Linked DNA regions of Drosophila melanogaster. The protein of the gene in region 1 purifies or fractionates together with the protein of each later gene. This does not show direct contact. Each region holds a gene or a part of one and is shown in the gene's direction. Other genes may lie near its edges.

The links.
Region 2: the proteins of woc (region 1) and row purify together in Drosophila melanogaster (affinity purification with western blotting; 3 studies listed by BioGRID, with this or other methods). This does not show direct contact.

What each region holds. Positions count from the first base shown.
Region 1 is NT_033777.3:27,258,052-27,266,011, reverse strand, and holds the start of woc (without children), read left to right. Parts: upstream 1-1,956; 5' UTR 1,957-2,235; exon of another isoform or gene 2,236-2,277; intron 2,278-2,560; 5' UTR 2,561-2,619; coding exon 2,620-3,457; intron 3,458-3,524; coding exon 3,525-3,785; intron 3,786-3,851; coding exon 3,852-3,896; intron 3,897-4,063; exon of another isoform or gene 4,064-4,068; coding exon 4,069-5,921; exon of another isoform or gene 5,922-5,962; intron 5,963-6,026; exon of another isoform or gene 6,027-6,131; coding exon of another isoform or gene 6,132-6,155; intron 6,156-6,214; coding exon 6,215-7,290; intron 7,291-7,353; coding exon 7,354-7,739; intron 7,740-7,803; coding exon 7,804-7,929; intron 7,930-7,960. Other genes in the region: CG14260 (uncharacterized protein), read right to left, coding at 1-15, 64-525; CG14262 (uncharacterized protein), read left to right, coding at 606-1,283, 1,337-1,597.
Region 2 is NT_033778.4:15,207,631-15,215,236, reverse strand, and holds the start of row (relative of woc), read left to right. Parts: upstream 1-1,602; 5' UTR 1,603-1,747; coding exon 1,748-2,630; intron 2,631-2,681; coding exon 2,682-3,511; intron 3,512-3,569; coding exon 3,570-3,660; coding exon of another isoform or gene 3,661-3,665; exon of another isoform or gene 3,666-3,992; intron 3,993-4,168; coding exon 4,169-4,992; intron 4,993-5,057; coding exon 5,058-5,425; intron 5,426-5,450; coding exon of another isoform or gene 5,451-7,244; intron 7,245-7,437; coding exon 7,438-7,606. Other genes in the region: CG8093 (uncharacterized protein), read left to right, coding at 1-905; Ir51b (ionotropic receptor 51b), read right to left, coding at 5,451-7,244.

The sequences.
Region 1 (7,960 bases):
TACGGGGAGGATTTTCTGGAATGGTATGGGGATTAAGCGAGATAAAAGTGCGGAAATTCATACTTTCGCCACGAGATCCATCAGTGCCGGATGGTGGTGCTCGCTGGCCAGGTGGAAGACCTGCAGAACCACCTCCATGGGCCACTCCTGGTGGGCCAGCTTGTCGATGTAGCAGTCGATGAAGTCCAGCATCTCGTAGCGCTCGGCCAGCAGCATGAGGTCACCGCACATGTCGATGGTCACCGCATTGCACACCTCGTACGTGTAGATGTAGAGGAGCAACGCCTCGTAGGCGGTGGGAGAGGCGTCGTCCACGCTGATCACTCGCTTGTTCTTCTGGAACTCGGGATCCCTGATCAGGCGCTCGAACTCCGCGGAGGCGGAGATGAGCATCACCTGGTGGCAGCGGAAAATGCATGGACAACGCTTGCCCTCCTTCAACTTGTCCGGTTGCGAGACATGGAGCTCGCAGTCCGACTTTTGGCCATTCCGCAACAGGTCCAGGCGGCGTAGCTTGCAGTTCATAGTGACTGGGGATTTTTTGGAGGCTTTGCTCTCACATAGCACAAAATTTGGAATTCGAAATTAGGGTTTCCCTGGCAGGAATGTCAGACTCTGAGAAGGAGGCCGCCGGCAAAGCCCACCTGGGAAGCAACAATCGGTGGTCCGACCTGGAGGAGGAGGAGGAGGGTGAGGCGAACGACCAGGGAGGGATCCAGAACTTGAGGCCGGAACTCGTTGTGCCCAGAACCACAGCTGCATCGGATGTTGAGGAGAATTTACCATTGGGTTCTCCGAGTGATGGGTCCAAACGCGCTACGAGTAGAAACCGCAGACTGGAATACTTTCGCAGTGGAGCCGATGCCGATTGCCAGGTGCACGTCCTGAGCAACTGCCCCCAATCCGATGAGCCGGCGGTCAGTGTGTGCTACAAGAAATTTGGCTGCCATCGGATCTTCCTGGCCACTGCCTCCGACAAACTGGAGCAGGACGTGTACCAGAACAAGGACTGGAACGGCGTACTCCAGATCAATGGGGTTTCGCCCGAGAGCGTGGAGATCTTCCTGGAGTTCATATACACCTTCGAGGTGACCTCGCCGCTGGTCCAGCTGAAGCTGGTGGGGGATATGTTCATCCTGTCCTGCGCGTACAACATGCCGGAGCTCCTTCGCTCCTTTGCTGAGAAACTAAAGGAGCAGGAATTGCCTCTGGATGGCATCTTTCCTGCCTTCGACCTAGCATTCCGGCATAACATCATCGATGTGGAGCGCGTTTGCATCGAGGTTAGTAGATTGGAATATAAAATGGAGCCTTAATTTAGTTAGTTATCCTTTAGAAAATCATAGAGGAAGGCGCATCATTGATCCACGAACCCAGTTTAATGAAACTCCCGGTCTATGCTCTAAACTACGCCATCCAGCACTGGCTGGTGGCGGATGCAGTGCCTCCCGATGAACTCATCACGATTTTAAAGCAGTATCAGGAGATCAATGAGATTACATTCGCCAACACGCAAAAATTCCCGCACTTCACCAAAATTATCAAGTATTTCCCCAATGTTCTTCTGGACGCCGAGGGATTCATCAATCAAAACTAGAAAACTACTTGGAATTCCCAAAAGCTTCGCGCATAAAACCCAAAAATTTAAAAAAAATAAGCCAATAAAATATCAGTTCTCATTAGCATTGTATTGGGTATCTTTTGCATATGGCAAACTGGAAGCTCATCTAAGGGGAAGCTTAGATGAAAGACAGTCTATATTTAAGTTGTAGTTTTCAATAATTTCCTATTGATCAAAAGCGATCCAAACTTTAGAAGCATTTTTCAAAAAGATAAACGAGCAGTGCTGCCAACCGGTTGCACCACTCACGCCGGTATTTTCTTATGCGCCATTTTCGGTATTTTCCGGCAGATACCAGCCAAGAAGCGAACGCGTTATGCGAGGGCCGCATTTGGTACACTAGTGCGCCATTTTACTCGCATAAAGCCGAAAATTCACACAGTGGCCAGAAAGCGAGAAATTGCACAGTGCAAAAAGGTGTTTGGTAATTGATGAAAAGTTTTGCGCGTACCGTGAACCGACCGTTAATGATGTGCCCGCACGCGCAGCGGTGAAAGGCAGTTAATTCGCCTGTGGAGACGCGCTCACCACAACAAACTCGTGCTGTCCGAAAAAAAAAGTCGGCGCTCGGATTGCGGATTATCGAAGTACCGTACGGCAAGGCAGCAAAAAAAGTACGGAAAAGCCGCCCATGCAACGCGGCCAAAAAAGATAATGCAAGTGCAGTAATATTAATTGCCTGGCAGAGCGGCGCATACAGACACACTCCTCCTTTTTTCCCCACTTTTTTTGTTCTCTGGAGGCGCATGTTTTGTTTTTTCGTGCACTGTACCGTGGGCTCAGTGTGTGTGTGTGTGCGTCGGTGTGCCTGTGCGTGTGTGTGTACACATTTTAGGCGGCAATGGTGTGGGGCCCTGGCCAGCCGATAGTCCGCCGCGCCGCGAATGTTATCGATAGACGAGCCCTAACCATTTGTTGTTTGTTTTCCTTTTGTTGCAGTTTTCATGTCTATATAAACAAACGTACAGCGAAAGTCGGTTAAAAAATCAAGCAGCGAAATGGAGGAGATATCCAGTTTGGACTCGTTCGGCGCCGATTCCAATGCGCGACCGGAGTCGGCCACCCCCAGGTCGGAGGAACAACAGGATCAGGATCGACAACAGACTGCTCCGGCGGCCAGTGAAACTCTGGATACGCCCGCCTCGCCGCCAGCGGAGGATGCAGCTGCGCAGGAAAGCAAACCGCCTCCTTCCAAGGAGGCGGATGACGACTTCGAACAGATCTCCGAGGGATCATTAGACGCCGATGATAACCAGTCGCGGGATAAGGCGGCTAGTACACCAGCTGATCCCGTGGATGCGGAGGAGCCCGCCGAGGAGCCAACGCCCAACGAGGAGCCGCAAGGCGGTGAGGATGAGCAGCCACAAACAGAAGCCGTGAGGGTAGATCCACAGGAAGAGCCCGAGGAGGCGGAGGAGGAGACTGATGCCCTCCAGGCCACTGCGGAAGAGGTGGAGGCAGCGGCCGCCGAAGCAGATGCTGTGGACGGCGGTCCCGCTTCACCCGAAGCAATGGATGTGGATGAAGGCGAGGTGGATGCAGAAGGTGAAGCTGAGCAGGAAGCAGAAGACGACGCAGCTCTGGATCGAGAGGCGACAGATGATGTAGATATGCAGTCCGTGGGCGCAGATTCACACCAGGCGGAGGATGCAGAGCCACCGGAGGGCCGAGATGAGGTGGACACAAGCTTAGAGGAGCAGGAAAATGGCCAAGATCCTGATGAACGGGAGAAAGATGCGGCCGCCGATGAAGATGATCCGGATGCAGAAGGAGATGCGGAATCGGAGCAGGTGGATGAAAATGCCGAGGAAACTGGTGAGGCCGAACATGGCGATGGTAAGTCTTAGTACTTCTTTGATGCATGTTTATAAAAGACTAAATGAATGAACTATTTACATTATAGACACAGTGGAAAATGTTTTGGAGCCAGAGGAATCAGATGTTTGCCTTATTCCCGATGATCAAGAAACGGAAGTGACTGAAGCTGAGAAGGAACTGGCCCGCGAGAATGCCGAGAAGGCCGCCGAAGAGGAGGAAGCCGAGGAGCGGCAAGCCAAGACACCCGATAACGATAGAAAGTCCCCGGCAGATGCCGCCGCCGATCCAGAAGACGACAGTGCAGCTGCCGTTGACGCCACCGACGTATCTCCAACCACGCCAACTGGTAAGTGCTCCACACTAAGACTTGAAATGCCCTATCCCACATCTACTCTATCCATTTTGCCTGCAGATGCTCAAGCTGGAGCTAAGTCGGCGGCAACAGGCATTGCAGAAGGTGAGCAGATTGGGTTAATTCCTGGGCAAAACTCACTAACTGCTTCATTCGACTGCATTCTATTCATTTAATTCTTGCTTTAAATTTAGTTTGTTATTACAAAATTGGCTCCTAGCATACAGAACGATTGCTTATTAAAATGTATATAACGTAAATCCCCTTTTTTTGCCAGCAGATGGAGTAGCTGCAGCAGCTAACGAAGAGGAGGCCGGTGGCGATGTTCCCGATCCCGACGAGCCCACAGCCGAGGAATCCTCCAGTGCCGGAGCGGGTGAACCTGGTTCCACGCCGAAAATCATCATTAGTTGGATCGTTGGCAGCGTTCAGAAGTGCAAACAGTGTGGCGATGAAAAGAATTGTGGGTTTCGGTACAGGAGTCCAGAGGAGTCAGAAGAAATGGATAAGGAGAAGGAAAACGATAAGGCAGAGGAGAACGCTGAGGAGGGGGAGGAGGAGGAGGCTCGGCAAAAGCCTGCTGCTCCCAGTGGGTTCGAGTACATCTGCGATACCGCCTGTGTCGACGCCCTGCTAGAAGATCAACCCGGCAAGTACTTTGTACGCCGCAAGAAGTTCCTGGTCGAGGAAGTGGTTCGAGAAGAAGGCGCCGCCGAAGCGGAGGCTAGCGCCGATGGCGAGGGCGGAGATGCCGAGGAGGAAGCTACTCCAGCCAACACGCAAGATTGCCTGCAGTGCAAGGATAAGACGCGGTGCAAATATTTCATTAAACAGGACCAGGACTGCTTCTACATTTGCAATGACGATTGCTTCAATCTGCTCAACGCTGAGGAGCCAGATAAATTCAAGCTGAAGCGGCACTCGATTCGAGTGCGCAACATTGGCGCCACAACGCTGCAGCCACCGCAAAATTCGCCCACCAAACGGACCGACGGCAGCGTGGTGGCCAGGACGGTGGAGGAGGCAGAGACGGCGCGCCTGGACAGGATCGAAAGCTTCCGAAGGCGCTGCGCCGACTGCGAGGCGGATATCAATACGGACGAGAAGCAGCTCATGTGGGAGACCATGGACTTCTGCAATGAGGTGTGCCTGGGCAGCTATCAGCGCACCATTGGCTCCACCTGCGAGACCTGCAAGCAGGAGGTGAGCTCCATAGCGCTTGGCAAGTACTGCGTGCGATTCGGTTTCGATGTGCGGCAGTTCTGCTGCGCCGGCTGCCTTAACACCTTTAAGAAGGGTCTGAAGACGTGCTCCTGCTGCCAGAAGGACATCAGCGGCGGGCAGGAGGGCTTCCTTGCCCCGGTGGGTGACAAGGATCAGTTCAAGGACTTCTGTTCGCAATCCTGCCTCCGTCGCTACGAAAGCATGTGCAATCCCCGACGAAAACTACGCACCGATGTCTGCGGTGTGTGCAACAACCAGAAGCCAGTGAGGGTGGAGATGCTGCTGGAGGACAGAGAGCACTACTTCTGCTCGAATCCCTGCTTCTCCGCCTTTAAGTTTGTGAGCAACGTGAACGCTGATCCGTGTGCCATGTGCTCCAAATACTTTGAGCGGCGGAGCGCCGAGTCCTACACCATCTACAACGAACAGCAGTCACCGAAGGTCTTCTGCTCGCGGGTCTGCATAAATGTGTACATCATCGTCAACAGGCACATCGTCTCCTGCCAGTGGTGCAAGGTGAAGAAGTACAACTTTGACATGATCTATCAGATTGGTGGGCCGCACGATCAGGAGACGCTCACCTGCTCCATCAACTGCCTGACCATGCACGGCGTTAGCTGCAACATCTCCGCCAGGGCGGTTACCAAATGCGACAATTGTTCCAACTTCAATACGCCACAGTATCATTTGACCATGTCGGATGCTTCCATGCGCAACTTTTGCACCTACCAGTGTGTGATGCAGTTCCAGAATCAGTTCGCCCGCGCTCCCCTCACGCTGGACAGCGACCTACCGCCCAGTAGCGCCGGCAGCTCCAAGTCCCAGCAGCAATCCAATCGAGGCAACAAGAATGCGGCACCATTTCCCACGGGCCTGCCCAAACGTGTCAAACTGAAGCTCTCCCACGTGAGTCAAAAACTAAATAATAAACTAAAAGGGTACACACTGGGTTTTTTTTAAGTTTTTACAATCGAATGATAGCCATGCAATAAGTGTTAAAATATTGAACGTAAACGAAGTATTTGCAATTTTTTTTACCTGCTCGCTTAATTATTAATACATTTACTTCAATTTGGCTTTCAATTCAAGTTTCAATTGCAATCCTAATTTCATTCAATGTCCACCAAAATGGGAATTAACGTAAATTAATTAAGTATCATACCTAAGTTGCATATAATTAATGTCCCCGATAATTGCAGACTGGAAAAGGTGGCGTTGGAGGCAAGAAATCCGGCTCCGGCACCATGCTACCGGTTATATCCACGGTGCAATCGCTCGCCAGCGGCGAAACCGAAGCCCGGATCGGCAATCTGACGGTTCGTCGCAAGCGTGGACGTCCACGGGAATCGGGAACCTCATCACCGCCGCTGTCCATGCCGGGTGTCCATCCGCCAGCACAGCGAGGAAGGCCACGCAAGCACGCTGTAGACTACTCGGCGCGTTCACCATCGCCCACGATGTCAGGTGGCAGCTCCCACATGGGCATTCCGGTCAGGCGAAATACTACCACGACTATGGATTTCGGGCCGGCTACGGTAACGGAGACCAAGATCATCACAGTGCCACCATATCCCAAGGCTGTGCGAAACGTGAACATAAGCTGTAAGCCCTTAACGGTGACCCAGGGCGAGCAGTGTAGTCCGGATGTGCGGGATTGCGCCACCCAGACGGAGAAAGACTACTCCAACAAGGTGCTCATCCCGGTTCCGGTGCCCATCTTCGTGCCGCAACCCATGTACATGTACTCGGCTCCGTTCCCCGTACCAGTGCCCATTCCGCTGCCAATCCCGGTGCCTATTTTCATACCCACCACGCGCAACACCGCGCAAGGCATACTTAAGGAGATCAAGAAGATACAGGACAAGATGCCAGAGGATCCACTGGAGGCGGAGTTGCTTATGATGGCCGAGATGGTGGCAGAGGAGAAGCACGAATCGGACTCCGATTCGGACAACGAGATCAAGCCGGATCCGGGCCTGGTAGCTCTGCAGTACCAGAACAGCCTCGAGTCCGTCGCCCAACAGCAGCAACAACAGCAAGTGGTGGACGTTAGCGGAGCCGGACATAATCCCTACGGCGACGATATGCTGCAGATAGCCCTCAAGATGGCCACAGGCGACTACGACAATCATCACCAGACCTCGACGGTGGATCTGGAAACGTCGATGACGGCGAATACGATCAGCAGCCAGTCGCCGATGGGTCACGACGGAATGGGTCAAATGGGAGTACATCATCTAGATCAGCAGCATCACATGCTTGATGCCACGCAGCGGTGAGTTAAGAGAGATGGCAATCAGAGATCAATACTCAAGTACTTAAATGTGATGACTTTCAGAACCGCACGTGGACGCAAGCGCGGCGTAGGCGTCGTCATGGACCCACCCAACCGCAACAGCCGCTCGCCGGTGAAAAGGCAGCGCGGCGGCGAGATGGATCACTCGGCCCTGCAGCAGCAGTCGCAGCAGGCACAGCAGCCGCAGGAGAAGCCCGACGCCCAAATGTTCCTGAAGTACACCTTCGGGGTGAACGCATGGAAGCAGTGGGTGATGACGAAGAACGCGGACATCGAGAAGAGCTCGATGCGCCGGCGGCCCTTCAAGACGGAGCTGCTTCAAATGACCGCCGACGAGTTGAACTACTCGCTTTGCCTCTTCGTCAAGGAAGTGCGCAAGCCCAACGGGACGGAATACGCGCCGGACACCATCTACTACCTTGTGTTGGGTATGTAGTTACTCCCCAGGTTTACACATGTACCATTTGATTTTATTGGAATCTCTTCCTTCAGGCATTCAGCAATATCTGTATGTGAATGGACGCATAGACAACATATTCTATGATCCGTACTACGAGCGGTTTACCGAGTGCCTTGACGAGGTGGCGCGCAAGTTCTCCGTGCTTTACAACGATTCGCGTAAGTTGAATCAACTTGAAATGAGTCAGTT
Region 2 (7,606 bases), on another chromosome or scaffold:
CATACCTGCTGTCCGAAGCGGGCTACGATGTGTGGATGGGTAATGCCAGAGGCAACACCTACTCCAAAAGACACGCCAGCAAGTCGCCGCTGCTGCAGCCCTTCTGGAATTTTGAGTGGCACGATATCGGAATCTATGATCTGCCCGCTATGATGGATTACGTCCTTTACTGGACAAATGTGACTCAACTTACGTATGTGGGTCACTCTCAAGGAACCACATCCTTTTTTGTGCTCAACTCTATGATTCCGCGCTTCAAGAGTCGCATTCGATCTGCTCATTTGCTCGCTCCTGTGGCCTGGATGGAGCATATGGAGAGTCCTTTGGCCACGGTCGGTGGACCACTGCTTGGTCAGCCCAATGCCTTCGTCGAGCTCTTCGGCAGCGCCGAATTTTTGCCAAATACACAGCTAATGAACCTGTTCGGGGCTCTCCTCTGCAGCGATGAGGCCATTTCACAGTTCATGTGCACCAACACCCTATTCCTGCTGGGCGGCTGGAACTCGCCATATATCAACGAGACCCTGCTCCCAGATATTATGGCCACCACTCCGGCGGGATGCTCAGTAAATCAGATCTTCCACTACCTGCAGGAGTACAATTCCGGATACTTCCGGCAATTCGACTACGGATCTACGCGCAACAAGAAGGAGTACAGCAGCAAGACCCCGCCGGAGTACGATGTGGAGGGCATCGATGTGCCCACCTATCTCTATTACTCTGACAACGACTACTTTGCTAGTCTGATTGACGTGGATCGCCTTAGGTATACCATGAACCCGAGCGCCCTGAAAAGCGCATATCGCATGCCGGAAGAAAAGTGGAATCATATCGACTTTCTGTGGGGACTGAATATTAAAGAAATTCTTTATGATCGGGTAATTAACGACATAAATAATGCATAAATGTGCGCTGGAAATAAAAAAAAGCGACATACGTTTTTGTGACATTGTGATAAAAAAAGTTCCATTGGTCACCACTTCAACGGGGGCTTTTGGTAGCTAATGAACCGATAATATACGAGTGGTCATAAATTCAAATTGATTTGGTGACACTTCACGGTGACTGAACAACGCAAAACGAACTAGCCTGCTAACATTTTTTGCCTTATAAGTGCACCTGCTAAATACAATGGATTATATTAAGTGTAATATAATAAAATATAAGCTGTACTAGATATTTTTATTTTATTTGCTGATTGTGTACTGTTGAGAAATATTTTGCACTCTTAGTTTGAATTGCGCGCCAACTTTCAGGGATGAAGCATCTTGTAAAATCATCGATAGACTTTCAGCGTTTTTTGTGGTAGTCGATAGTCCGCAACATACTGATCATAGTAAAAAATATCTGTAATGTATATTTAGGTGGGAAAATATATTCATGGCATTTATTTATACGTTAAATCAATTCTTGTTATGATATTCCTTAATTGTAAAAAAATTTTATTCTTGTTCTTATTAGCAGAATATAAAATTGACCAGTTTACGTTAACACTTTTTTTTAAATACAAAAATTTGATTTATATTTGTTTATATTTTAACGAACCGATGTGTGGTGCACCACTGTGCGTGTGTCACGACAATACCCAAGCCGATATTATCGATGTTTTCATCGATGTTATTTACTCGAGCAGGTACATCCACGCAAGGAAAGCTAATTCGAGCGAAAAAAAATTTACTTAGCTCTTAATATTTTTAAAAACAACGCCCTCGCTGGGCCAGTGGTCGGTTAACTAGTTAGCTGTAAGATGACGCGCGTAACGAGAAGTGAAATCTCCCTGGACATGGAGTTCTGGGTGGAGGAGCTGTCGCCGGCACAATTGGCGTACTACGAGAAGATTACTAACGAGCACAACGCGGTGAAGGGTGCACTAAAGAACGCGGTTAGCGCCAACGAGGGCAAGGAGCTGTTTAACGGCCAGGTGTTCCAGGCCTACTCCTTTAAGGGCAAAGTGCTGCAGGAGCTCAAGGAGGCTACGCTGCCCAAAAAACCACCCAAGCCGACGGACTCTCCCTCAACACCCGCCGCCCAAAGCGGTGGCACAGGGCGGGGTCGTGGCCGCCCACCACGACAACCATCCAACATCGCCTACCTGGAGTCCTCCGATGAGGGAGACGACGATATGCCGCTGGCCAAGCGACTGGCGCTGTCTGCAGGCAAAAAAGCAGTGGCCGTGGCCAATGCATCTTCCTCGTTCACCCCGAAATCCAGTAAGAAGGCTGCATCCGCTGCTAGTGGAGGATCTTCTTCACCGGTACCTAAGAGCAGTGGAAAACTATTTAAGGAATCCAAACCGGACATCGAATCGCCGCCGAAGAACTACCGCCCCGCCGAGGTTAATTCGGTGGGCGGTCTGGTGGTGGGCAGCACCGACGAAAGCAAGGATAGCAAAGACGGCAAGGATGGCAAGGATAACAAGATGCAAGGAAAGACATATCCATCTCTGGTGGTGCTAGCAAAGCCTTTTCTCAAGATCAAAGACATGGCTGCCACCCGCAGCAAGCTGGACTCGAAGGTTAAGCTGGTGCTCATGCTTACGCCCAATAAATTCTGCGAGTGGCTGCTCCAGGAGGGATTGCTACGCGCTCAACAGCATTGCATAAACCATCGCAACAACGAGCTCAAATTGGGTAAGAGATATATGATCAACTGAATTCGTTTATTAATGTATTTATATTTAGGAATTTATTCGGATGTGACCAAGTTTCCCTACACTGGTGGCTATGTGTGGATCAGCGAATGTTGCCCCTACCGCTTCGTCTCCGTGTTCAACAATTCCATTTTCGAAGGAGCTCAGCACCCACCCACATTCCTGTTGAAGTTAATTTACCACTGGGCTTGCCAGACCAGTATTCAAAATGTGGTGCAGTGGGTTAAGGTGGACAGTGTTTATATCAAAGGAATCTACACCTGGCTTAGAGCCATTTGCACTTTGGCAGTGCATCAAAAATGCAAGAAGCTGGGCGGTCCCGGCAAGTTTGTGGAGGTGGGTGTTATTTCCCTAGGAACCACATCCCAAGATGGCTCCCAGCGACAAGTGAAAGTTGAGGTTCTGGGCGTCTATGATTATGCGGAGAAGTCCATCCGACTGCGGGCTGTAGAGCCAATCACCGATGGTGATCGTAACTACAAAAAGCGATTCCAGGCCATTCTTGAGCCACTGTCGCGCTGGGTGCACAAGGACAGCACCATTTGTATAGACTTGACTGTCGACAAGATCACCCTCTTCAGCATGGGATTCAAAAATATTGTCCAAGCAGCTGCCACTGACAACACAGCCAAGCACAACAACTCAGCGGTAATGGAATATTTGCGACGGATTGTGCCGCGCATGTTCCAGAACACCCTATCGTTGCTATCTCGCCAGATGATTCAACAATTCCTCGACGAGTTGGTATGGCGAGAGTCCTTTGGTACATATGCCTTGCAGGCATTCAACAATATCATAATACACATTGCCGAGCAGACAAGAGTAACCACCAATGAGACAATCACTCAGCGTCTGTATCAGGTAAGCAGAATCGAAAAATTTTTATTAGCGATTAGCCTTTAATAGCTCTTTCGTTTAGGTGGCAACCAATCCGTTCAAGGACTGGAGTATTTTGCCGGCCAACTACAAGGAGACACCTGCCAATGCTGCTCCCAAGCGCCTCAAGAAACGTTAGTACTATCGTACTTTTGTAGCAAGTTTTTATTTAGGCCGTGAATAGAATAGTGCGTTATGATAATCTGTTAAGTGCCTGCGTTTCTCACTCCAAACTGAAATGTTTTCGTTTTGTTTGATTAGTTTTGGTTAATCGAACCCAACAGCTGAGCTCAGGTCCACTTATTGTGTTATGTGAATTGTGAATTTATATAATCTATATAGGTGAAATGTATCATTGATATATTCACATATGTACAATTTAAGCATTACTTCCTGACATTTCTCGTGTCTAATTATTTTAAAACAACCCCATTAGAGAAACCATAAATAAACTTGCAAGAAATTTAATAACTGTTTTTATTTGATTTCCTTTTTCATTTGGAGTGATAAAACGCAAGAAAGAATTTACTAATTAAATTGATTGGACCCATTCCACCAGATTCAACAAAAATGGACAAATATGTAATGTTTAAGTTTGTATGTTGAGATTACATCTTTTTAAGTTAACATCTTCAATTGCAGCTATCAACGATGCTGACTACGTTGTTTCTAACAAGATTCCCAAGAAGGAAAAGGATCGTGATATAGCATCATCTGGAGTCAAGCGCGGCCGTCCACCGAATGCATTAGGCACCCCACCACCTCAATTGCCAATTAAAAAGGGTCCAGGTCGGCCGCCGGGCAGTACCAACCAGACAAAAGGAGACAGAGCAACGACCTCGTCATCTAAATCACTGTCTAAATCTCTGATAGCTAAAGGCCTTGGTAAAAAACCGAAAGAAAAAGATGAAAAGATTCCAATGGTCATTAAGAAAGAAGAGGATGATCTAAGGGGCTTGGAGGAGCTGTACTATGGAATAAGTGATGGTACGGACGAGTACCACGAGATCTTTCCATATAGCACACCCCGTACGGTTCACAACGAACTGGCCAAGACCGTGGAGTGTCCAATCTGCCTGAACGGCGACTCCTTCGATTCCAATGAGAAACTCCAAACGCATTTAGTATCGCATATTTCGCCAGAGGGTAAGCAGCACCAGTTCCAGTGCCTTTTTTGCTTGGAGAAGCATCCCACCGAGTCGGTTTTGGCCAAACACAACCAGATCATGCATCCAACTGAGACAAAAACGGAGGGTTCACCCTCGTACTACTGCCTAATATGCCAGCAGCGTCACAATTCCCTGCATCTGTTGACGGCTCATTTGCAGAAGGTCCACAGCACCCTGGAACTACCATATTGGTGTCACTCCTGCGGCTATCGATCATCTTCGCACCGCGATTTGGTCAGGCATTTTTATGACGACCACAAGCATCAAAACTTTTTACAGTGCCCCTATTGCTTGGATGTAAGTAGCTGTCATGGTAAAGTAATCTTGTAAAGTTCTCTCTATTAAAAACTGATTCTTTTTAGATTTTCTACTTCTCAAAGCTTGGCGTCGTTAACCAGCTGCGCATAGAACATTACTTCATGCATTTGGACGAGCACATCAACAAGCGTGATCCCTCGCTGCGCTGCCAGAAATGCTCGCTATCCTTCCTCGAGAAGGGGGATCTAAAGCAGCACGCAGTGCAGCATCATGTGAGCATGACTAAGACCAATAGACCGGTGCGTCTCTTACTCAACAACTCGATGTTGATACCACCGCCAAAGATTCGCACCCATCACCGCGAGCAGCCGCCGTTCTCCACCTACAAGCGGCCAGTATTCTTTGCTTTTCTGGAGGGTAAGACCTGTGCCGAGTGCAACACCGATTTCGCCAGCGAGGAGACACATTACACGTAAGTTCAAAAATATTTTATTTACCTAAGCAATAAATCGCCATGGATAAAGGTGCCAGTATTCACAAGAGAAAACCAGAGCTGACAGTATCCAACCAATTCCCAAGACACACCAGCCCAGTCTCAAAGTATCCACATCGATACTTTGATAGCCCAGGACGTTATCTACAAACCTAACGTATCCAGCACGCATGGCATCGTTAAAGTCGGAAACTACCCAGTGATTCAGCAGTCCAGTATCCTGAATCTTCAATATGAAATGGTTAAGGGATGTCTCCAAGTGGCTGTCAACGCGCATTGGATAGCCAATATGTGGAGATCCCAAGCAAGCAGATGAAAAGCGAAAAATCGGCTTAAAGGCATATTGCTGTTGCATGGCAAAAAACTGCCAACGTTCTTCTGTAAAAGGGTACGCGAAGCTGCGATTAAAACTCAGCAAAGCGGACACCTGTTCACTGGCATTTACAGGCACCAAAAGCCGAGATACTTTTTCCACTAATCGAGGTTCAACATGGCGCAGAAATGTGTTAATTTCATACTCCTTGACGAGCACCCTTTGCTGCTGGTGGACAAGCTGATCCATGCTATTTACTTGCTCGCCCACTACTATGGTTGTGAAGAAGCTGTCCAACTCAATGTTGTACCAACTTGTGGACATGAATCCCAGGACTGAAAGTTGTAGGAAAATAATCAAATGGCGCCATGTTGGTCTGTAAATTGTTATAGGGGGGCTGATAAAAAGTATCTTGCTTATCGCATCTAGAAAATTCAATCCCAAGCGTTGCGGCCAAGAACTTTTATTGAGTTTCGGGCTTATGCAATAGAGAATTCCAGTGATGTAGAAAACTGCGAATAACAGAATATACCAGCTGTACAATTGGAATGGTCGCAATAGGTACATGTGCCTTGGAATCTCATTTCTCATGGGCACAATCAAGCAGTTTGGATATATTAGTAAGGGGTAACTCTTGGTTGCTGTTGGGGGTGTGAAAACGTACGGGTGCAAAGAGATTTCCAATTGACCGTCTATAATCAACTGCACAATGTGGTTCATATTCACACTAGTTGTTGGGTCTAGATTCTCATCTGGATTGGTCAAACGCAGCGAGGCATTATAGTGATCCAAATATTCCACGAATGTGCGATATGCGTATCCCAGCACCTTTCTGCTCTTCGTTAATGGATCGTGCACATGAAACACTCTCGGAATATCATTTTCCGCCGGAGTGGATACTACATATCCATGGAAATTCCTTGCTGCATGTGGAAATAGCGGTTCCGTATGAATATCGAGTTTGAAAAAACGCATCGCCGGATACGGAGTGTAGGAATAAAGCTGATCCCTTTGCAGGACAAGAACGTTGAGGAATTGATATTGCCATAAGGCGTTGAATATTGATTTAATAGCACCTTGCGAGCCACTTCTTTGATTACGCAGAATGATGATCAATCGAATGCGACGGAGTTTTCGTAGATTTCTATCCAGAGTAAGCCACATGATATCATGTTTATCATGACAAAAGAACAAAGCTATGCCATTGTATCTAGTGATTTTAAAATGACCAAGGGGTCTTATATGTTCAGGTTGGAGAAATAAATTCATTGTCAAGCTAGTAACTCCCATTGTTTGATGGAGCCAAATAATCAAGTCGTTGAGGTCGCCTCCTTGCGTATTATGTCCGACGAATATTGGTGTATTTATCCACGGCTCCCGTGTAGAGATGAGACTTAGAACGGATTTCAACAATGTCACATTGTAAGCAGCGTTTGTTAGCGCCAGTAATAAAATAACGACCAATAAGGTTAACACTTTGCACATGGTGGTTGATTCAATTGTGACAAGCCAGAACCGCGGGTTGAGGTTTATAAGTCAGCAGCTAATTGATTTAATAGTGGCTGATTGATCTCTTGGGGAAAACTCATTAGAATGTGTGAGGCAATAATTTGTAATAAAAGGTTTTGGCGCTCTACGCACTCATTTAATCACTTTTTTATATTAAATCTTTTCCCAGTGGTTGGCTACACTGCGTTAAGTGCAATTATCAGACATGTTGCGAGCGAGCGCAATTCCGTCATGGCGTGGAATGTAATGGAAACTTTGTGGACGCCATGGAAGTGAATATGCCACAGGAGATGCACTGCATCTGCGGCTTTGCCACCGGCAACGGCAACAAGATGGCT